3 linked regions of the Xenopus tropicalis genome follow. The protein of the gene in region 2 interacts with the protein of the main gene of each other region in a pairwise test. Links are inferred from orthologs where the notes say so. Each region holds a gene or a part of one and is shown on either strand. Other genes may lie near its edges. The genes, in order: ccdc155l, stx5 and stx3.

Region 1 (2,904 bases), on a different chromosome or scaffold from region 2:
TAGAAAAAAAAAATAATGAATGTAAATCGCAAAAGTGCTTAGAATAGCACTCTGATCAATTTTATATTCACTTATTTATATATTTATTGATAAATAATCAAAAATATGGGAAGTGAAGTACTGAGGTCTCGCTTAATTATCTGTCAACTCCCCAAACATCAACCAACATGGTGCATCAGCAGAAGACATTTCCAAATGGAACTGATCATCTGTGATCAGACGGCTGGATAGTATGGTCAAACTGCCGACCATATCATATCTGGCCATGTGTTCTGACCATTTAACCAAATGTTCTTTCACCATTGTCATTGTTCTTATGTGCAATCAATTGTTCACAATACTTTAACCTTCAGAGGCCTCAGTCGCTGAGATTTTGAGGTAAGAAAGCTAAATCTGGACATAAACAGCCTGGCATTGACTGCTGACTTATTGGTTGTGTATGGCACCAACATTCCAACCTCCCTGATCAATACCTGATGAGACTGTGGATGTGGCCCTCCTCTGATCTGTACAGGGCTACTATGTATTCATATAAAAATAGCCCACTCCCTCCACTCTGAGTTGCCATCACTGCATGGTCCTTTCTTTACGTCTCAAGCCCAGGGCAACTACCACTATTGGCCACTCCTAAGGATAGCTCTGCAACTAAGCCAGAGTGAGTTGAAAATATACATTTTGTGATATTGTGCAATATTTGTAGATATCTAAACCATGAGAAATACAACATTATTCCAAAACTGTTTGCAAACCATTACGTTAACAGAAAAAGTAGAATCCATGGTGCTAACATAAACATACTATTATGCCAGCACCACAGATTCTACATTTGTACACTTTGGTCTATGCTTCATTGTGTGGTCTGGCAACCTGTAGCGCTGCACAATAAAAGCAGCTTGTCACTGAAAGGGTTAATGCAACAACATGGATATATTACCATATCTTTTAACCAAATATGTTTTTCTCTTGTCTGCCACGGCACATTCTCTCCTTAAAATCCAAGCTGTATGAGCAGAGCGGCCACTTCCTGCTAGAACTGAACTACCTGCTTGAGCTGAAGAATGTGTGGGAAAGGCAGTGGGGCAGGTTGGGCAGAGCCGTGCAACTGTACACAGGGAAGGAGGCCAAGGAACCAGACAGTGAGGAGCTCCCTGCTACTGAATGGTATATCTTTGGAATATGTGCCTGCTGCATAAAGGCCAACCTCACTTTATGGTTCTTGTGTTCAGCAAACATCACATGTTCCCCCATTTTGGCGCTATCTGAGCCTCCAGATATAAATAGAAATGTATTTTCTTTACACAGACATAACTTATTCCCCAGATTGAAAGGACGCCAAGATAGTCTGTCTCTGCTTGCAGGGATGAGTTTCCCACCCCCAACCATGACCTTAAGTCTCTCTGCTTTCCAGAGAATCTGTGCACCTCCCATTATTAAAAGCAGAGAGACTTCAAGAGACCCAGAAACCATCACTTCCCAGTGGAACACGGGGGGAGAGGTTGCCTTACACAGTCAGGCTAAGCCATGTGGAGAAATGGTTTTTTAGAGTATCATGGTTATGGGTTAGTAAAGTCTTTGCATGTATGGCAGCCTTGATTCTTTTATTGTGTATTTAGAAAGGTTAAGGGTGAAGACAGACATAGTTACTAGTAGCAGCTACTTGTCACGGCTACTTAAATAGACAGTAGTGATCATTTACTGATAATTGTCTTTAGGTGAGTTTTAGCAGAGGCAATTCTCAGTATAGTCTATGGCAGGATATTTTCTGGCATTTAGGGCAAACACACACGGGGTGATTAGTCGTCGTGACTAATCGCAGCAACTTTTCTGCCATAGAATAGTAGTCGCTGCAAGTAAACGCTCGCGAGTTTTCACTATGCAGATTAGTCACTGCTACTTGACTAATCACCCCGTGTGTCTTCGCCCCTAGTAGCTGTGAAAAAAAATGTAATTCTAAGTAAATATCCATTAATGAAAAATGATCAGTGGCTTTAAAGTTATGTGTAAGATTTTGAATTAAATTTTCTTTTGCTGTGCACTGTTTTTGTGTGCCTTTATTCTGTGGTACTCACCTATTGCCTCACATCTCCTGTTCAGGTTATGCACTGATACTCTGCACACTTCCATAGTGCCCTGCATACAACTGCAGAACAAGAGCTCACTATGGCTAACCCTGATCCTTCTTGGCACACTGATGTTTTGCCCAGCGTGGGCAGGGGAGCACATCTGGACTGTACTGAAAGCAGAGATATGGCCTCATCTAGACTTGCACTACCATTCTCCACCACCGGTTTGAAAGAGGTGCCAACACCACACAGCTACTAGCCAATGATAAAGAAGAGAGCAAAAGCAGCATTTTATCTTTATATTTCTGTTATTTTAACATCTTAGTTATCTTTATCTTCCATTGTTCTTATATTGTTGCACTTGTGTCTGATCTCTGGTAGGAGTTTTACAATAGTGACTGACACAATAAGAGACTAATGTGCTAATGAGCTAGGGGAAGTGGGACGAGAGCTAATTAATCCTTTGGGAGGGATGCAGCATTTGGCTATGGTTCTTATGGCAGGGGGTTGTGGGAGAATGTGATGGTAAAGAACTCAGTAGCATTCACACACTGCCACAGGCTGCACCCTCTCAGCCGGACAAGGTAGTTTAGCCAAATAAATGCCTTAATAAAACACCTTAAAGTGACAGTACCCCCCCCCCCTTTGTTCCGCTGGTATGCAATGAATAGGGCTTGTGCTAAGCATACTTTTATCTATTGTTTTAATCAGGAAACATTTTTTTTTCTTTTTATTTCTTGAGCTAAACAGGGAAACTGAAATGACTCCATGTTTGGTCCTTGCAAAGTACATCATTAGATTCCCAATGCACAGATAAGAGCCGTGGTAGATGGGGAGATTA
Region 2 (3,661 bases):
GCAGATGCTTATTTTTGAATTCCTGGCTTGGAGGCAAGTTTTGGCTGCATTAAAACCAAAGTGTACTGCCACTGTCAAAGCCTCCTGTAGGCTCCAAGCCCACATAGGAGCTACCAAATAGCCAATCATAGCCCTTATTTAGCACCCTCATGTACAATTTTCATGCTTTTATTGCTCCCCAACTCTTTTTACATTTGAATGTGGCTCAGGGGTAAAAAAATGTTAGGGATCCCTGATTTAAAGAGTTCAAGTCACTTGCACATACGCATTGAAATTAATCTAAGCTGTACACCCAGATACCTACTTGTTTAATTATGTAGGTCAATTCTTCAATCTCTGCAGCTTTGTCATCAAAAAGTGATTTTCGTTTTGCCACTGAGAAATAATTAAATTGTCATTAATCATCTTAATGAAAATGTGGTTAAATGCTGTAATTATTCTGTACCACAGAAAATATTTCCAAAAATTAAGCTAGTGCCACGGGACAGATTCTCAGCCTGCGGGTAAATGCAGACCATGATCCACCCCTACGCTTTTTTAAAATCTAAAAATTGTGCCTGCACCTGAAAGCATTGCTTTGGCCCAGGTGCAGCAACACACAGCATATTTCAGCTGGAAATGCAGTTTTGGGCCTGAAAACGCTGTAGTTACCTGCATCTAGTTAACTGCTCCTACATAATTAGTATGTATTTGTGTGTATATATATATACCAATTTATTTTATAACCAGAATAATCTGATTCAGAGTCAGAGGGATAAAGCTGTGGCTACATTCAGTCACATTTGGTTAAGATTCACACATTAATCAGCAGTGTGCAGAAAGCCTCAATTAAGACTGAAAACAACTTAAGCAAGCCATATATGCCCTGGATGCTTTAAACAACTTTGCCCATACTGCCTGTTAACCTTTCTTGACCAGCATCACTGGGGGATGGCAATAGGTCCAAACTGAATATGTAATCTTCTAATGCACCATGCAGCTGAATGTGGAATAAATGCGGAACTTCGTTTACTGCAGATATAATAAAATGCAGTCATCTATGTATTTGGTCAGAGAGGTACTATGTGTATTGTTGGACACCTTTTAGGTTGGGCCTGTAGATGATCACCTTTGAATGCCCTGACTCAAGTTCATATTTTTTATGTGATCTTGTAATCACTTGCGCTGAAACAGAATTTTATTATAAAAACTTTTGCTCTCTCTTTTCACATACACACACACACAGGGTTAATTGCAGAAGTGTTAAATACTTACATATTGTCAGTTTCTCCAGTTTGCTAAATGTGTTACTGAGATCCTTTCCAATGCGTCTGCAATTGAAAAACAATAATTGAAAAAGGAATCAATAAAATGGAGAGTATAAAGAAAGAAGCACAAGACACAAGGGTTGTTTAACAGAGAAAGGGGCAGCCCATAATAAGTTGTATTACTAACACCTGATTACGGGCTGCCCCTTAGTCTTGTTTTGTTAAATGGAGTGATGCATCTAATGGTACAGCAGAGAGATTACTTTGCACTATGCACAGGTTTAAAGCTGAAAATCTAAGATTTACAAATTAGAGTAAAACCACAATATCGTTATAACTAGAGGGTGAAAAGCAACACAAGCACTACAAATGAACATCAGCCCACATCTTGCTGGCTTAAGTGAGATGACTGGATGGAACATAACCTTCTACTTACTTGGCCATTAGGGTGAATTCACTTCTTTGCTTAACAGCACTTAGAGTCGGAGATGACAACTGTACACCATTCTATAAAAAAACAAACATATATTTAAATCGTAAATTACTTTTTCATCATGTGAATATCTTTTACCCAGACCCCAAAGACATTTTCTTCTTCCCCCATCAATTGCCAACCTGGCGTCCCTGCAGAGATTTGCAAGCAGAAATGAACTCAGCAGTGCGGTCCCGACAGGACATGATGTCAGCTGGGGGAACTGGAAGAGGAGCAACAGGAAACTCTGAAGCAGGAACCAGGACCTGAGTCTGGGATGGTCCTATGTATATTCCGTTGTCTGTGTTACGGGACCCGAGACGTTTACGAGCGTTCATGGGGCCAGGACCAGCTGTGGGAAAAATAAAAAGGTTTAATCCAGAGAATATATAGTAAAGTTTAAAGGGTTGTGAGCTACTGAACGGATTGTATATATTATGGATTTATGCACATTTGCATGTGTTTTTGTGGTGATAAGTGAAAGAGGCATTATAACAGCTGGCACAACAGTGCCAATGGCTGAACTGGCAAAGCTCCTGCAGGCAGAGAAAAGTATTTTAACTTCCTCCCAGAGAGTCTTGTGTACCACAGGCGTAAATGTTAATATATAAATACAGCTAGAATCCCAGGAATAAAGCAGTAGCTTATACCTGCCTGTGTACGCACAATAATTACTATAATTTCTTTAAAATGATCTTTATTAATTTTCAAAAAAAAAAATAAAAAATTCTCTAGGAAATTACTTTACTAAACAATACAGGATGTTTTCAAAGACAAGTTGAAATCTGTTGACATTATATAAAAGCAGCCCAAATGGACAGCCAATAATGGAACCTTGATACTGGCAGGAGCCTACTCAAAACAGACATGGAAAATCACACAGAGGAAAAAAAACACTCTTTGCTTAAAATGTAAACAATTACATTTTATGACAATTACATATGCAGAATGCCAATCAAAAAACACGCAGCTCAGCATTTTTAGCCTATTACAAAAAGAATGAAGACAGCAAGTGCTACCTCATGCAGTATTTAGCAGGCATACTACGAGAAGAAGGCTGTTTAACAGAGGATCACAGGCAACTGTGTGGGGTCAAATTTTGGATATCCTACAACTATTTACACTGAAGGAAAGAAATTCCCAAAACGATGCTGACAAGATAGATGCACCATCCCAATCTGAAAAGGGGTATTCTATTTAAACACTCAATGTAGAGTAACATTTTTAAAATGAATATTAAAGACCACACTAATATGCCTGGAGTGCCAAGAGCTAAAACAGACAGCGCACAAACATGTGGTATGTACACTAATGCAGTCAGGAATAAGTGAAAAGAGAATAAGCATAACAAGGTAATGGAAACCATTAAAGTAACATTAAAAAATGAAAGTGTTTTAAGGTAATAAAATGTAATATACTTTTGCCCCAAGATGCTGTGTGTTTGCTTCAGAGAGGTTACTATAGTTCATATAAATAAAGTTTCTGTATAGCCATGGAGGTAGCTATTCCAGCAAGAAAAAAGGAGAAAAGGCACAGGTTACATTGCAGATAACAGATAAGCTCTGTAGAATACAATGATGTTTTACAGTGCTTATCTATTACCGGATATGTAAACTGTACCATTTAGCCCTATTTCAGTTTAAATGGCTGCCCCCATAGCTACACAACAGCTTTGTTTATATAAACTATAGTAGAGTTTCTGAAGCAAATGCACAACAATACATTACATTTTAATTACTTTGATTTTCAGTAGTCCAATAAAAAGAAACCAAGGGATGCTCTTAAGAATATTGGCATACAGCATTGACTGCATTACATGCATCAGAATACATTTTTATGTAAAACTCCAGTCTTGATCTCAGACATGATGTTATGCTTTGTATGTGTTATGTTATCTGCCCATGTATGACCAAGCAGGCTGGACATTTATCATGTACAAAAC
Region 3 (3,661 bases), on a different chromosome or scaffold from region 2:
CTTGTCAAGCTACTCCTGCTTTTCTTCTTAGGTGTTTGTCTTAAAATATGCTGTGTAGTGTCCCTTCTCACCTTACGTGCTTTGTTCTGGTATTTCACAGCTTTTGTGGTTTCTTCACGTGCTTTCTCCACATGTTCCACAGATTTCATAACATTTAACTCTATATTGTCTAAAGATTCACCCTGTTAAAAATAAATAAAATGATTATTAAAAGTAAGGGACAGTGAAAGATTCTCAATATGCACAGATGCACAATCTTTATTTTTGTAGTTACCTGAACTATAAGAAGTCTCAGTATCCATGAAAAGCATAGCATTAAGGGTAGAAAATATAAAATAGCTTAGAATTCTATTTGCATTTTGAGACAATAAATATGTGTATGTGTTAGTTCTGATATTCCTGTCCTTTCATAATATCAAATCACAATCCACGTTTGGGTTACCTGGTTTTCCACAAGCATTGCAATATCCATAAACATGTCATGGAGCTCTTTTAGGCTGCTCTCCAGTCGTACAATATCTCGATGTCTGGATTCAATTTCACTTAGGGCCTGACGTGATATTTGTGAGTCATTAATTATCTGTGAAAAGTGTAAAATGAAAAAAAAAAAGAATAATGAAAAACTAAAAAATGTTCTCATAACTGTTATTAACAATAATGCTTTTAAATGTGCTAACACATTAAGCAGTGCTGTACAACAAAAATGTGTTTTAATCAAGTATACAATTCACATTAAAAAACTAATGCATACAAAAGGTAAAGAGAGTTCTTCAAAATAAATCCTTAAGCTACAATGGTGTGTCCAACTTCTTTCTTGCCCAAAAGGCTTAACTCTTTTCTCCTTTTCAATCCCCTCTCTAAAATTGTAATAATTCTTCTCTATACTCAGGGGCAGATTTACTAAAACTCTAACATTTCTAATTTTTTTGTTTCCATAAATGTCTGGCATTTACTAAAAAATCTGAAATAAAAAGTCTGCACTGTAAAAGTTGCAGAAAAGTAGCAAAAATTCAAAGGTCCCCTCAGAGTTTCTTTCTTACCCCAGAAGTAAAAATATTAGGATTCCCACTTTCTAACATTTCTTCCAATTCTTCGTCTGTGGTACTTTTGCCAGCTGGAGAGAGGTGCAAAGTGAAAAGAACAAAATTAAGACCGCTGACTGATTATATATAGATTATCTATATCAAATCTAGTTAAAAAAGGTAAACTGTTTTGATTAAACCTTTAATTAAAAACTTTTAATTAAAGCTACATAATACAAAAATAGTGGGCACAAAATTGTACTATACAAAGAAAGTATGACATCTATTATCCAGAAATGTCTTATCCAAAAAGCTTTAAAATACAGGAATAATGTTTTTCATATTCTTATTTAAAGGAATACTGTCATGGGAAAAATGTTTTTTTCATAATGTATCAGTTAATGGAGCTTCTCCAGCAGAATCCTGCATTGAAATATGTTTTCATAAAAGCAAACAGATTTTTTTATATTTAATTTTGAAATTTCACATGGGGCTAGCCATATTCTTCATTTCCGTGTGTACCACAACCATATGACCTGTGCTCTGATAAACTTCAGTCACCCTTTACTGCAAGCTGAGGTGATATTACTCCCCCTCCCGGCAGCTAATCAGCAGAACAACGGGAAGGTAGCAAGATAGCAGCTCCCAGTAGATACCAGAATAGCACTTAATAGTAAGAAATCCAAGTTCGGTTTGCGACTCCTCCAGTTATATGGAAGTAGGAGAAACAATAGGTTATCTGAAACCAGTTCAAATGTGTAGCGCTGGCTCCTTCTGAAAGCTCAGACTCGGGCACAATGCACTGACATGGCGCCTACACAGCAATGTTACAACTAAAAAAAATACATTTCTTGGTTTAAGAATAACAGTGTAATTTAGAAATAAAAAGTACACCAAAGAAATCATGACATTATCCCTTTAAGCATACAATTCTTACTTTTTGACTGATTTCAGTTTTTTCATTACTTCGCAGCTATTAATATTACCTCCTGGCTTCATATATTTCTCTCAGCAGTTTTCCTTTGTTCAGTTTATATGTCAAATTATTTAGGTATACGTTTACTTACACATCTACGGAAGAGCACTGGGGCCACAAATTTTTTTTTTGGTGAATTATGACTTGTAAAAGTGATAATTAAGACTTTTAAACTCATAATTATGACTTTAAAAAGTCGAAATTATGACTATAAAAAGTCGAAATGATAACTTTTAATCTCATAATTATGATTTTAAAAAGTTGAAATTCTGACTTTTAAAGTCAAAATTCTGGCTTTTAAAGTCATAATTATGAGTTTAAATATCATAATTATTAGTTTAAAAGTAATTATTATGATTTTTAAAAGTCATAATTCAACAGAATTACACATCCTCACTACACCTGTTAGTTAATTTTCTTCACTTCACATCAATATTTCCTTTTGCTATTAAAGGCTTGCCTAAACCTGTCAGTTGTTAATAGTAGGGATGCACCGAATCCCGGATTCGGTTCAGGATTCGGCTGAATCCCGACTTTTTTTTTAAGGATTCAGGTTCTGCCGAGTCTGTGGTCCCGGCTGAACCGAATCCTAATTAGCATGTGCTAATTAGAATTTGGAAAGGGTTAAATGGGAAGTGAAAAAAATGTTTTCACTGCTTGCGACCCCTTACGATCCTAATCATCATATGCTAATTAGGATTAGGTTCAGGATTCAGCCCGAAAAAGTGGGTTCGGTGCATCCCTAGTTAATAGTTTCAAGGAATGCCCTTTATGTCACTTCACAGTAATGTAGAGAAGTAGGGATTAGGATGTCAAGCGGCAGGCGATGATATTAATAGATTTGGGTGGATTAGAGTCAGAGACGGGTGAGATCTGGAAGTCCCAATAGCAGAGATTTGTATGGGTCATCAGCCTCCAAGTCCACAAAAAAATATCATGGTCAAAGGTGGGAATGTGTGCAGCAATTCTATAATTTTGCGAGTTTTATTAGAAGACGATTGATTGTAGGAAAAGGAAGCTTTAACCACGCTAGCTAAGACCAATCAAGATTCTATAGAAAGCAATAGGAAGTGTATCTTCAGTATTTCGGCAAGCAGGAAAATGCTGGTTACAGCTTTTCCCACAATTTTTTTCTGACCTGTGATCATCATTAACCTATATATATATGATTTTTTTCAAAAATATATGCCCAAATTTGTGGAAAGCTGTGGAAAATGTTTGAATAAGATTAGTTGTGAATATGGGCCCTACTGTGTCAAGAACAAATATTGGCCCTTGCATTATATACCTGTAAAAAAAACAGAATTTTTATAATTTGTATCCAATTTTTTTGTTAAGCATTTGTTTCCCTTTAACATGTAACCTTAAGATTGTTTTTTTTTAAATATTAGAATGTGTTTGTTGGTTGGCCAATTCCTCATACAGATGGAGAACATACAGTATATAGCATCAGTGGTATATTTTGCAAATGTACTTCCCAGCAGATCTTGAACATTGTATAAAAGGGGATAAGAAAGTGTGCTTTGGACTTACCAGGTACTTTACCACCATTCATCTCTTTATTCTGTTAAAGGAACAGTAACACCAAAAAAATTAAAGGGTTTTAAAGTAAATGAAATATAATGTACTGTTGCCCTGCACTGGTAAAAGTTGTGTGTTTGCT

What was found.
Region 1: the proteins of stx5 (region 2) and ccdc155l interact in binary tests that used the Homo sapiens proteins (3 or more experiments, as listed by UniProt). The two-hybrid records come from large-scale screens. The link is inferred for Xenopus tropicalis from reciprocal best matches to the Homo sapiens genes STX5 and KASH5.
Region 3: the proteins of stx5 (region 2) and stx3 interact in binary tests that used the Homo sapiens proteins (3 or more experiments, as listed by UniProt). The link is inferred for Xenopus tropicalis from reciprocal best matches to the Homo sapiens genes STX5 and STX3.

What each region holds. Positions count from the first base shown.
Region 1 is NC_030683.2:112,424,023-112,426,926, forward strand, and holds the end of ccdc155l (lymphoid-restricted membrane protein), read left to right. Parts: intron 1-1,000; coding exon 1,001-1,161; intron 1,162-2,094; coding exon 2,095-2,293; 3' UTR 2,294-2,402; downstream 2,403-2,904. UniProt on the Homo sapiens protein: As a component of the LINC (LInker of Nucleoskeleton and Cytoskeleton) complex, involved in the connection between the nuclear lamina and the cytoskeleton.
Region 2 is NC_030680.2:36,549,509-36,553,169, forward strand, and holds part of stx5 (syntaxin-5), read right to left. Parts: intron 2,072-3,661; 5' UTR 2,058-2,071; coding exon of another isoform or gene 1,926-2,057; coding exon 1,863-1,925; intron 1,755-1,862; coding exon 1,684-1,754; intron 1,311-1,683; coding exon 1,255-1,310; intron 376-1,254; coding exon 305-375; intron 1-304. UniProt on the Homo sapiens protein: Mediates endoplasmic reticulum to Golgi transport.
Region 3 is NC_030683.2:60,542,426-60,546,086, forward strand, and holds part of stx3 (syntaxin-3), read right to left. Parts: intron 1,115-3,661; coding exon 1,041-1,114; intron 581-1,040; coding exon 443-580; intron 183-442; coding exon 72-182; intron 1-71. UniProt on the Homo sapiens protein: Potentially involved in docking of synaptic vesicles at presynaptic active zones. Apical receptor involved in membrane fusion of apical vesicles.